Danio rerio: one gene and its partners. The protein of the gene in region 3 interacts with the protein of the main gene of each other region in a biochemical or structural test. Links are inferred from orthologs where the notes say so. Each region holds a gene or a part of one and is shown on either strand. Other genes may lie near its edges.

What was found.
Region 1: of the proteins of amot (region 3) and lats2, one has a biochemical effect on the other in vitro, tested with the Homo sapiens proteins (3 studies listed by BioGRID). The link is inferred for Danio rerio from reciprocal best matches to the Homo sapiens genes AMOT and LATS2.
Region 2: the proteins of amot (region 3) and nf2b form a complex in vitro, tested with the Homo sapiens proteins (2 studies listed by BioGRID and IntAct). The link is inferred for Danio rerio from reciprocal best matches to the Homo sapiens genes AMOT and NF2.

The regions. Positions count from the first base shown.
Region 1 is NC_133184.1:22,913,625-22,917,726, reverse strand, and holds part of lats2 (serine/threonine-protein kinase LATS2), read right to left. Parts: coding exon 4,015-4,102; intron 3,903-4,014; coding exon 3,796-3,902; intron 3,535-3,795; coding exon 3,004-3,534; 3' UTR 1-3,003. UniProt on the Homo sapiens protein: Negative regulator of YAP1 in the Hippo signaling pathway that plays a pivotal role in organ size control and tumor suppression by restricting proliferation and promoting apoptosis.
Region 2 is NC_133196.1:27,251,865-27,255,966, forward strand, and holds part of nf2b (NF2, moesin-ezrin-radixin like (MERLIN) tumor suppressor b), read left to right. Parts: intron 1-573; coding exon 574-696; intron 697-846; coding exon 847-930; intron 931-1,009; coding exon 1,010-1,078; intron 1,079-1,169; coding exon 1,170-1,252; intron 1,253-1,368; coding exon 1,369-1,444; intron 1,445-3,283; coding exon 3,284-3,421; intron 3,422-3,519; coding exon 3,520-3,594; intron 3,595-3,674; coding exon 3,675-3,788; intron 3,789-4,102. UniProt on the Homo sapiens protein: Probable regulator of the Hippo/SWH (Sav/Wts/Hpo) signaling pathway, a signaling pathway that plays a pivotal role in tumor suppression by restricting proliferation and promoting apoptosis.
Region 3 is NC_133196.1:41,176,905-41,181,006, reverse strand, and holds part of amot (angiomotin), read right to left. Parts: coding exon 3,534-4,102; intron 2,997-3,533; coding exon 2,483-2,996; intron 1,879-2,482; coding exon 1,734-1,878; intron 1-1,733.

The sequences.
Region 1 (4,102 bases), on a different chromosome or scaffold from region 3:
GTATAATACAGTTAAAGGTTACGTCAAAAAGTCCCAACCCATTCATTCCTTAAAATACAAAAACATACATTAGAGGAAAAAAGTTCCATCATCACACAGCTCCAAACACAGTCAAAGATTGTCAGTCAACATTTTCAAAAGTAAAACAAAGAATCCATCCTCAGCACAACACACGCATTACATTCAAACCCTAAACCTGACTCTGTGAGAGATTCGTAGAAAGCTCATGCCTTTTCACTGAGTGGTCCAATCTGACAAATACAGGGAAGCAAAGCATCTGCAACACTTGCTGTCACACTCCATTCTACTCTGATTGAACCAAAAACATGATGACAATTTAGGTACAAGTCTGAATTGAATATATTTTTAGGAATTTATGTGACTTTTAGGAGTGAGCAATATATAAAAGCGGATCATCACTGGCTGTTACTTTAAAACTCATCCAGTCAGACGTCATACAGGGTAGTTTGACTGACTTCAATCAAGCTTCACTACAAATGATTAAACATTATTATATGGACTTATTAGGGATCCTTATCACTGACCAATCACATACAATGTGTTTCCATATCCACCATGCTACGACATCCAAATACATCTCCTTCAGAGTCTCAATGACAATCATTCACTCTTTTTTTCGTCTTTCTCCAGCTATCATCCAAATGCCGCCTCTTACGTTCAGGACCGGCCTGAGTGCAAGAAATGACGGCATTTCCATTCTTTCCAGAAATACTGATCAGCACGTGGTAAACACACCCACACATTCATTAGAAGGCACACAGTTCGTCTTACATCGGATCAATCACACTGACAATCAAAACCACACTTTTTACACAAAGAGAAAGTATAATTGAAAGGTTGATGATAATATAGTGTAATATTAATAACAATAAGCAGCATTGGGTCATGAAACTATATTGAAAATAGATATAAATCAATAGAATATATACTTTTAGATAGCATAATTCAGTTTTGAAGTTATAAAGGCTATTTGTTGTATTTAGAAAACTATATAATGTATTTCTGTATTGCACATAGTTATACCATCAGATACATTTTTCTTTTGTAACTATCTTTCACCATTTTCGTTAAAGTTTTTGCCTCAAAGTATTTTTTACATTTCAGTCATAGACTGTCTTGTTGTAATACTGTGCTGTGTGAGCAGCCTTGATGACAAAACATCTTGCAATTGTTTGATTACATTTGTGAGTGTGTGTGTGTGTATAATAAAATAAGTTCACTGATAGTGACAGACAAGATCATTTCCAGTGGATCTGGATAAGCAAGAACACACACAACAAAACCACCCGTCTGACTTTTAAGATCTTCTTATGAAACTAAATGCAATTAAGATGAGGTGGGAAATATGATACATTTTCTGAGATAAAAAAACAGAGTTACTTGTGATGAAAGGCGTATAATCTTTTTGCATAACTAGAAAAGGATATAGCTGTAGCCTCAGCTCTTGGAGTTAATTTATATAATTTGTTCCGGATAGCCAACTGCAGCGGTCTGAGAAAACACACTTCAAAACAAAACGATGTGTCTTGCAAGTGTTAGATACACACGCAAGCAGCTGATGAATGTAAGCAGCTATTGGGAACGAAATCATTAAGCCTTAAAACAATGAAACTATTTAAATCAAGCCAGGCAAGGTAAATGCTTGTTGAATTTAAATACCACCTGAATGAAACAGCAACTGATATAACACAACTAAGCAAAAATAACTAATTTTAAAACTGCAATGCAACTGGTAAGCAAACATTAAGCAGGATTTAGGCCTTTTAATATTCACAATTTAAGAGTGTTAATTACCTCTTACATTTTCATATTGTGAATGATATTTTCATATCATATCCGTTTTTTTGTGGCATTATGTATTTAATGACTATACTTATGCTTAGCCTCAGCTCTCAAGTAACAGGCGGTTGTTTAGACAATTGAAGTATGTTTTAAAAACCTTTAATAATTGTAATAATGGGAGTTTTAAGATCCCATGTCCATGAAGTGCTGCCTGTACATCAAAACATTTTATTTTAATATTGTGTCATGACTGAGAGCACCGTTAGGCATGAAACATAAATGAAGGATAACTGTATTATATTTACAAAAGACTATTTTATTAATTAATTAATAATTTATTGTCATTATTAATTATTAACTGCAAAATCCTGCATGGTCTTTTGGACAGACTTTGCATGAAGAAGTGACCTAATACTGTCAGTCCATAATATAGGACTTACATCTTCGAAAAGAAGACACTTGACAATGTCACTCTGAACCACTTGGTGGCGCCACAAAATCCTCTAAAACAAAGTTTGCTCGCTTTAAAAAAAGACTGAGATCATATAATTCCAAATCTGGCTTCAATACCGCAGAAAAAAATAGGTTTTACAGCACATTTATGGATTTATAGCTATAAAATTCAGTTTGGTATTATGAACTTTTAAAAATAAACCACAGAGCTACCATCCCAAGCCAAGCACTCTTGTAATCCTTCACCATAAACTCTCGGGTGTTTGGAATGTTAGCATCACCAGGTTGAGAGAGGTGAGGGATGTGTTAACATATGACGTAAGACTGGGACTCTTTCTCCCAGTGGAATAAAAGAATAGGACACGGTTGACACACAACACACTAACCATGAGTAGAGTGGTTTAAACGTCAAACCACAGACCAACAGCTACACATCTCTGTTTTTGTGCTCTCATAGAAGAGTATCAGTCACATCAACGTCCATATGCAGCTGCAGGTCTTGTGTATTTCCTTGGTCCCAGGTCAGAGCTTCAGTCATTTTTAAATGATACTGCATAATGGTTTATGGGAATAAACACATTTTACTTGGAACTTTCTGCACTAAATTTCTGATGTTCTTCCAAGCATTTCAGGCAACACCCTGAAGAAAAAATAGTGTTGAAAGGAAGTAGAGAAGATGCAGCGTGTTAACTGGTGAGGTCCTCCATGGGTAAAGGCAGAGCAGCATGAACAACCAATCCAACGTTTTCACACATAAACCGGCTCACACCCTTCCCCTTGCTCTTCCTCTTCATGGGCCTCTTCCTCCTCCAGCTCAGGCTTCAGGCTGCCGGCCCCGTCACTGCTGGACAGGCTTTGTGTCGCCTCTAGGGGTTTGGGATAACGGAATGGACAACCATTATCATCAAAAAATCTTCGGAAAGTAAACTCATAGAAGGCATGTTCAGGGTGTTTGCCGTGAGGAGAACAGAGGGTGTCCCAAGTGCGGGTGCTATCCCCACTATCACTCCAGGCGCCTGGGCCTCCCTCCTCTTCAACAGGATCAAAGTTGGATGTATCCATGGGGTGGGCAATTTTTGGTCGATATGGTGCAGGTTGTGTCCGAAGATTGCTGGAGAAATCCACCTCGGAAAAAAAAGGATGAGCCTTTATTTCTCCAGCCCCATTGCCTCCTAGACGCTCTTCAGCAGAGCAGCAAAGCTGGCCAATAATATCGACTGCCTCTGGGCTTAGTTTTACTTGTGGTGGCACTTGCAAAGTGTTCTCCCAGTTTATCACCTGTAGAGGTAGTGACATCAACAAAAGTTTATTTCTTGTCATCAAAACTCTTAACCTCAAATATTATAAAATATTATTTAAAGAAAACAAAGATGTGCAGTCCTTTTTCCTGCATGGGCACTGTCTTGCCTAATTGAATCACCTATTCAAGTTTTCAGGATTACTAGAAATTTCCAAGTATGTTGGGGTTGGTTGGAACTCTGTATGATACTTGCCCTCCAGGAGCAGGATCAACTAAAAACATGCATACAGAACTCTTACCTTAAGCTGCGTCTCTGTTGGGGTTGGAGCAAGAAAGGGTGGTTGGCCAACCAGCATCTCAAACAGGATCACTCCCACACTCCACCAGTCGCACAGCTGTGTGTATCCTGTGTATTAAAATTAATTAAAAGGAGCAATTAAAAAGAAAAAGGTTCTATAGGCACTAGCAATTCTTTGTAATGTCCTTGTACTTCCGAGTGACTATGTGAATATTCTTACCTTTGCGCAAAAGCACCTCAGGGGCAATGTAGTTAGGGGTGCCCACCAAAGAATGCGCCAGGCAGCGCTGGTGTTGTCGAGTTGCTCT
Region 2 (4,102 bases), about 14 Mb from region 3:
TTACAAGTACAAGGTAACAAAATTCAGTTTTGGCCTAACCAAGAGTGCCATAGCATCAAGTGCAGGATATAGGTTATAAAGTGCAATTATAGAAAAACTATGGTGATATTTACATATGGATGTACTATGAACATTATAAACAGATTGTATTAACTGTGAACAGAGATTTACAATAGATGAATTTATGTACAGGTTGCTATTAATAATCAGAAGTATGCAGATAGATAAAAAACATGTATACATGTATGTGCAGTGGATATGTACACTTCAAGATCAATTAGTACAACCAAGTGAAATATAGGCAAGAGGGAATAGTGACATTGAAATCTTGTAAAGCAAATTGAATTGTTGGTCTGTATTAAAAACTGAACGTAATTTACTAAATTAATCCACAATCCTAGAAAAACAGTACTAACCAAGTTCATGGCAGTCAAGTTTCGTGGTGTTGGTGCATACAGTTTCTATTACAGACTGACCTTTGATTTTCATAACACCTTGGTTTGACTTCAGGAGAAATTTATTTTGATGTTGTTTGGCCCCTAACATATTTGTTGACTTTTTAAATCCATCTAGGTTTTGGATCAAGAGGTTCCAAAGGACTCTCCGATAACATTTCACTTTCTTGCTAAATTCTTCCCAGAAAAAGTTGAGGACGAGCTCGTTCAGGAAATTACTCAGCACCTCTTCTTCTTACAAGTATGTGGGAGTTGTTCTTGTGAATTTGGCATGATTGCTCTCCATCATGGTCTTTTCCGCTGTACAGAAACCTCATTTGGGGGAATGAATAATCTTATTTTCTTCAGGCCAAATTCTTGAGATTAAAATCCCTTCTGTTTTTTTACAAAGGTTAAAAAGCAGATACTAGATGAGGAGATATTTTGTTCTCCAGAAGCCTCCGTTCTTTTAGCCTCATATGCTGTTCAAGCCAAGGTAGGTCTCCGTATCAGTGTTTTATGAAGGGACACACTCAATGTATATCGTTTTATTAAATATGACATTCTTTCTGCAGTACGGGGACTACGATCCAAACTTTCACAAACCAGGTTTCTTAGCTCAAGATGAACTCTTGCCCAAAAGAGTGAGTAATGGCTCTACTTGACTACTTGAAAATAAGCCAACATTTGCATTCTTTAAGATGGTTTATGTGATCTGTGTGCTTTATTGTGCAGGTGTTGATGCAGTATCAGATGACACCAGACATGTGGGAGGAGAAGATAACCGCTTGGTATGCTGAACACAGAAACATCACAAGGTAAAACTGTGCACGTCCTGCTGCTGTTTGTGTGTGTGTGTGTGTGTGTGTGTGTGTGTGTGTGTCTAAACCACCTTCCTCATGAAAGATGAACTACAATTGAGCTTTGTTTGTAGGGACGAGGCTGAGATGGAATATCTTAAAATAGCCCAGGATCTAGACATGTATGGAGTTAGCTACTTTTCGATTACAGTAAGTATTTTTTTATTTTTTAAAGTTGGCTTGAAATTGAATTTTCAGTAGTCCATTTTTCCATATAGTTATGAATAGGGATTTCCCTATTTTTTTTTGCCCCCGAGTCATTTGATTTTGAACATATAGCGATACTGAAACCCGATCCGATGCTTCTATAATACATTAAAAAAATAAAGATGAGTGAAGAAACAGATCCAGGATGTTTTTTTTATTTTTTATTTAATTCACCTTATTTTAACATTCAACAATTCTGTTAACAAACAGAGCACTTATGTGAGGTAGTTTGAACATTCATTCATTCATTCATTCATTCATTCATTCATTCATTCATTCATTCATTTTCTTGTCGGCTTAGTCCCTTTATTAATCCGGGGTCGCCACAGCGGAATGAACCGCCAGCTTATCCAGCAAGTTTTTACGCAGCGGATGCCCTTCCAGCTGCAACCCATCTATGGGAAAGTAGTTTGAACAATCAATTAATAAATAACATGAATTCTTCACCTTTGGACTTAAGTGCAACAGTAAATATAAAAACAATCACATGTAAAAAAAAAAAAAAAAATAGCACCTCAACTTAAAATACCCGGCAGATTTGTAAACAAAAAATAAATAAAAGTGCCAAAGTGTTTGCGAAATCAGTAATTTGCTTTTAGGAACTGCACTCTTAACTCTAACTGTCATCACAGTAGTAAGTTTCACAGAAGGAGATGAATGTTTTTTTAATGAAAACTAACATCTCTACCTTGTCAGGTTTGAGGCTGTCTCATCAACCTTTTAATACCTTCAGACTGCAGACATACCTGCCCTGTCCGTTTTAAGCAGCTTCTGTGTTCTAGTTTTCCGCCATTTTACCAGTAGCGTCTCTGCAACAAAGTGATGTCACACCGCACACGTTGCTGATCCGGAGGTAATGTCGGATTCCGATCGAGTCTGAATTTGCCTGATCAAGCCTGATTTCTAATCACGTGAACAGATTTGGAGATCCATTGTAATGAATGAACCAGAATTAAGTATATTAGGGATTACAACCATCTAATCACAATGTACATTTACATTACATTGTTTTAAAAATAACTCGCACTAGGTGAAATCGGTTAAGTTGTCAGCTTTATTTTTACAAATATAGATGTTATAAGGCTAAAAAACCCCATCACTACACACTTTATACACTTTTCTCGGACAAGCATAATATTTTCACACTTTTTTCTGTTGTTTAAACACTCAAAGTTCAAACCTTTGTAGAAAAATAAGTCTAGTATTGTAGAATAAAACCAAAGATCAAAACCATCTGATCTTCACTTATTTATTCCATAATGGTGCCCTGCCGTCACGTAACATCTACCTTTCTTTAGCATGTCCAGAAGTTTAACTTTTTGTGAAATGGTTAGCATCTTCCTCTGCTTTTTGAGTGCTACCACAAGTGCCTTTGATGGTGCAGAACGTTTCATTGATATTGTGGGGAGAAAGCTTGCATACTGTACAGCACTTCAGAAGCACACCTTTAGCGATCTGTACTGTACAGAAGACATGGCACGGAGAATGTTGATTGGCAACGGTCTACAGCCAGTCAGGCACTGTAGAAAAAAAACATGTGAAAAAATCTGCGAAACTGCGAGGTCGCAAAAAGTGAACCGCATTATAGTGAAGGACCACTAATATATATATTTAGATTTAATATTTATAATTGTTTAATATTTTCTTTATTTTTTACATTTTGATAATAGATATTGTCTAATTTGACCTTTTATGACATTGTGAAGCCATTTTTTTTCCACAACATGGTTGATTTCTGACTCTAATGTACAATTCAAACTGTCCCACCATGATGTTTCACAGCAAAATAAGAGGGACACAGAGCTTCTTCTTGGAGTTGATGCTCAGGGTCTTCACATTTACAACCCCAACAACAAGCTGAGCCCTAACAAATCCTTCCCCTGGAGTGGAATCCGAAACATCTCCTACAGCGAGAAAGAGGTTGAAAGATTACCTCTTTTTTTAAACACAAAATATGCAAATAATTTTACAGAACTCTCACAAAAATATTTAAACATTCTGTATTTGTCTATTCTCAGTTTACTATCAAACCACTGGACAAGAAAAAGGAAGTGTTTAAATTCTACTCATCCCAGCTTAGAGTTAACAAACTGGTGAGCTACTTCTATGAGTATTTGTGTAATAAAGTATATTCAAGTAGTTGCTCACATAAATTTTTTACTGTATATTTTAGATCTTACAGCTGTGTATTGGGAACCATGACCTGTTCATGAGGAGGAGGAAGGTGGATTCAATAGAAGTGCAGCAGATGAAGGCTCAGGCCAAAGAGGAGAAAGCTAGGAAGAAGGTAATTTTCTTCCATTCTACATATGTTAACCATAGTGGTGTTACTCCAAATTAATTCTTTTCTTTATGAATTTAATGTTTATGCAGATATACAATGAAATATAGTAAACATTTATTTGTTTAAACATTAAAATATAACTTATGCAGTAGGGCTGTTCAATTAATCATAATCGTGAAAAAAACGCAATATAAGCACATGGTATTTCTAAACCGTATTAGGCTGCGATTTTTATCTTTTTACTTTAAAATTTACTTCTTTTTATCCAGAAAATGTTCTTGTTTGCACGACTTTAATTTTAACCAAATAGAGCTGAC
Region 3 (4,102 bases):
CCAATCTGGGCATGGAGGAGGGACAATGCATCAATGTATCGTGTCTGATTTGTCCGGAGACACAGTGACGAGCGTTTCTTTGTCAAATCAGCGTTGTCAAATGTTGATGACGTAACCGCACTGATTCCGGAGCCTCTGAAAGTCCGCGAATGTTATGTGATACAGCACTGGAAAGCTGAGACTCTCTTCTTTATGCCAATCTTTGAATTGTATGAATCGGATCAGCGGATCAAAAGTTATTAAACATTTAAGAGCAATACTTATTTTTAGCCGCGGGCGGCTGTCTCGGTCTTTAAGGGTTAAAACCGTTGATATGCAATTGTTCATGGTATGATAATCGTGCACGTTCAAATCGTGGTAAACCGTCATACCGGTATATTGTTACAACCCTATACATATATATATATATATATACATACATATATATATACATACATATATATATACATATATATATATACATACATATATATATACATACATATATATATACATACATACATATATACATACATATATATATACATACATACATATATATATATATATATATATATATATATATATATATATATATATATATATATATATATATATATATATATATATATATACACACAAAAAGTCAACATATGCACCTTGTCCTTGACTTTTACTACACGCAGCGCACGCACATGAACAGTGAGTAAGAGAGGATATAAAAGCAAACAAGCTCTAAGGTAAAACCTGACGCTCAAGACATAATCTTTAAAATAATGACTTCTATTACAAATGTAGACAGTGGTTTGTGATATAAGAATTACAGCGGAGCATTATATAAATGCACATTTCCATAGAGCGCTTTTAGGTAGCCTGATATTTTTATTTCTTGGAAGAAAAAACATGGCAAAAAAAACAGCCGATGCTGGTTTTTAAAAAGGATTCAGTCAGTGTTTTCATTTTGTAATCTAAATTTGTAATTTAAGTGAAAAATAGGTAGACCTATTTGTTTTATTCTTTTTATTTAGCTTATTCTTGTTTCTATACTGGCGAAAACACTGCAGGTGCGTGAAAATGTTCTGTTGATAATATGTTCACATGTTAAAATCAATCAGTATTTTAAAATGCAATATTTATTGTGTCAGAAACAAAATAGACACGTTAATTATTTTGTTTTAAATTAAATAATAATTTGATATTAATCTGACTAGTTAATGGTTAATATTCAGTTAACAAGCAGCGGTTTCTGGTTGGCAAAATTAACCAAAATGAGCATCCCTAGTTGCTCTGCAGACTCCAACTGCAACACATAGCACTGCCTGTATTAAACATGCACACTGATTTGATGTGGGAGTAAAGGTATTTAAACAAATAGCTTAAGGTGAAGTAATATTTAAAGTTTTTATACAAGTGTCCTTGTATGATTACAGTTAAACCACTGAGAATGTCACTCTGAATGTTTTGGCAATGTTTCCGGTGAATTTTCTGGGCTTTGAATGTCTCTGGGCCATTACTGTCTATGAAGGGTCACTGAGATCTCATATTTATGTTACAAGAAAAGGTCTCAGGGGATAAAAACCACAATTGGTAGAGCAATTTAAGCCAAGAACAACACAAACATGTTTTGAGATCAGTGACAATTTTACTGCTAAAAGGTGTAGTATAGTGGTAAAGTACAATTCATGAATCTTCCTTTCATAATAATCTCCTCCTAATACTTTCAGAATACTCCGATATATTGCTATGTTTCTCACCTCGTAGGTCCCTGTTGAAGTCGTGCACCCTGCGCACCTCCATCTCCAGCTTATTTCTCATGGTCTTCTCAAGAGCTTCCCTCTTTGTGGATGATTTAGCCAAGTTCTCGTAAGCTTCTGACACCATCTGGATCTCAGTCTCCATCTGTAAAGAGATTACATTGCTGAGGCCTCACAGAAACAACAAAACAGATTTTGTACAACTAAAACATAGCATGCAACATTGCCTTCCACTTTTGATGTGTCACTCTTGATGTTGATGTCACTCTTGATGTGTCACCTAAAAATCTTTTCAAAGCTTGTTGAATCAAAAGTTTAGATGGTTATCATGCCAGAGTTGATCCTTGGTCATCTGAGAGCTTATTATAATATTTATAAACTCTTTTTTCCATAGAAACACCAAACACTTTTAAACATCTTTGTTATTAAACACACCTGATTCAACTCATCAGCTTGTAAGTAGAATCTACAGGACTCCAGAAACAGAATAATCAGATACCCAACACATCCAAAATGTTTTCTGTTGCTGTGCCTCCAAGAACAAAGTTGAAAACACTGACCTATCCTGAACTGACCTACATTTGCACTGACATGGAAATGGTTTCATTTAAGTGGATGTGGTACAGGTTATGACCTAAATTGAGCAAGCATTAAACATGTCTTTCTCTATCTCACTTACTCAAGGGTCCCCAATTAAATATTTGATTGTGTAATGGTAATGTAATGAGAAACTTCAAAGACAGTCATACCTTTTGTAGTTTGGACACTTTCTCCCCACACACCTCCAGCTCTTGCTTAAGCAAGCGGTTTTCTTCAGACAGCATATCCACCATCTGCTGGGCACGGGCAAGCATGGCATAAGGATCCCCCTGCATGGAGAGTGGATGTGAGTAGTGTTGTGCTGGACTCTGTTGCTGCTGCTGCTGGGGGCCCTGTTGGTGGTACTGGTGCTGGAGCATGTGGAGGCCCCTTGGAGCTGACCCATAATGATCATGTGGAAACACGTGGCTCCGTTGATGAGGAGGATGGCCTGGGCCGTATGGATCACCTTGGTGAGAACCAGGCCCCTGTGAGCTTCGAGCACCTATGGGGAAGGGTGGCTCTCCCGAATGACCCATTGGTGGAAGCGCATGGGAAGCAGCCAAGATGCTGCTGAGAGTGGAAGACTGAGCACGGGAGAGAGAGCCTCCAGACGTAACCGAAGATGAAGGGCTGTGGTGATGGACGGACCTTTGAGAGTGGCTTGAACTCTCCTTACTTGACCTATTGAGGAGCAGAATAATGAATTATACTCACATCTTGATTGATTGCAAGAGTAGTAGACAAATTCTAGAGAACTTTGTGACCTACAAAATAAATTTAAACTTGCATAACCAACGGCTTCTTTCAAGACATTCAGTCACTGTTGTGAAACGACTATGTACTGCATACCAACCGTTCACAAAAATATTTTTCACAGGTCAACATTCCTGGTTCTCTACAACAATAATGGACAAACTGTCATGCTGTGACATGTTGTAGATGATTATTTGAATTTGATATGCATACTTTTGCTATATGCCACACACTTGCTCTACAGTGAATGAATTCAGGGAAACAGGCAAAACTTGCTTTTCCCATAACAGGTTTCCTGACAACATGTCCCAGCATTTAAGGGAAGGGCTGTTTTGAGACTCATCACCTGAAGTTTTTTAACAACTGATATGCCAGGGAATGTAATATGCGCTGTAAGGTGCATCGCACCAGTTCCCATAAAGTCCCAAAATTCAGCCCACTTCTTAGCCTTTAAGGCACACTCACCGAAAAGAGCCGTACTCAGGTGGTGGCTGGTACCGGACATGAGGAATGTCAGTCCTGGCTGGTTGGCTTGTACCGCGGTGGTCTGGGTGGAAGTGTCCAGGCTCCTGGTGCTGAGGCTGATGGTGCTGTTGCTGTTTGGGTGGAGAGGGCATACCTTTAAAAGGATAGTCTGGAGGTGGCCCCCTGTGTGGAGGCCCAGTAGGTTTGTAGTAGTCTCCTGGAAGTCCTGGTGGAGGCAGCTGGGGGGAAAGTGGTGAACTGGTAACAGGAGCATGGGCCTTGACCCCGCTGGTGGCCAATGAGAGCTGCATTAGTCTTTCGCTGAGAGAACGTACATGACCTTGCTTTAGATCCTTGAGCCCATCATCTTGGTGTACTTTGCCTCCATTCATTCTCTGCACCGTGGACCTGCCCTCTGGGGGTCGCACCTTAGAGTTGGTGACTCCAGTCACATAAAAAGCAGCACCCACTGTTGGGGGCATCTGTGGTTGAGGCTGCTGGGGTTGATGGCCACGGAAGTACTGCGACTGAACCTTGGCTTGGTCATAAGTGGGCAGGTCTTCTGGATT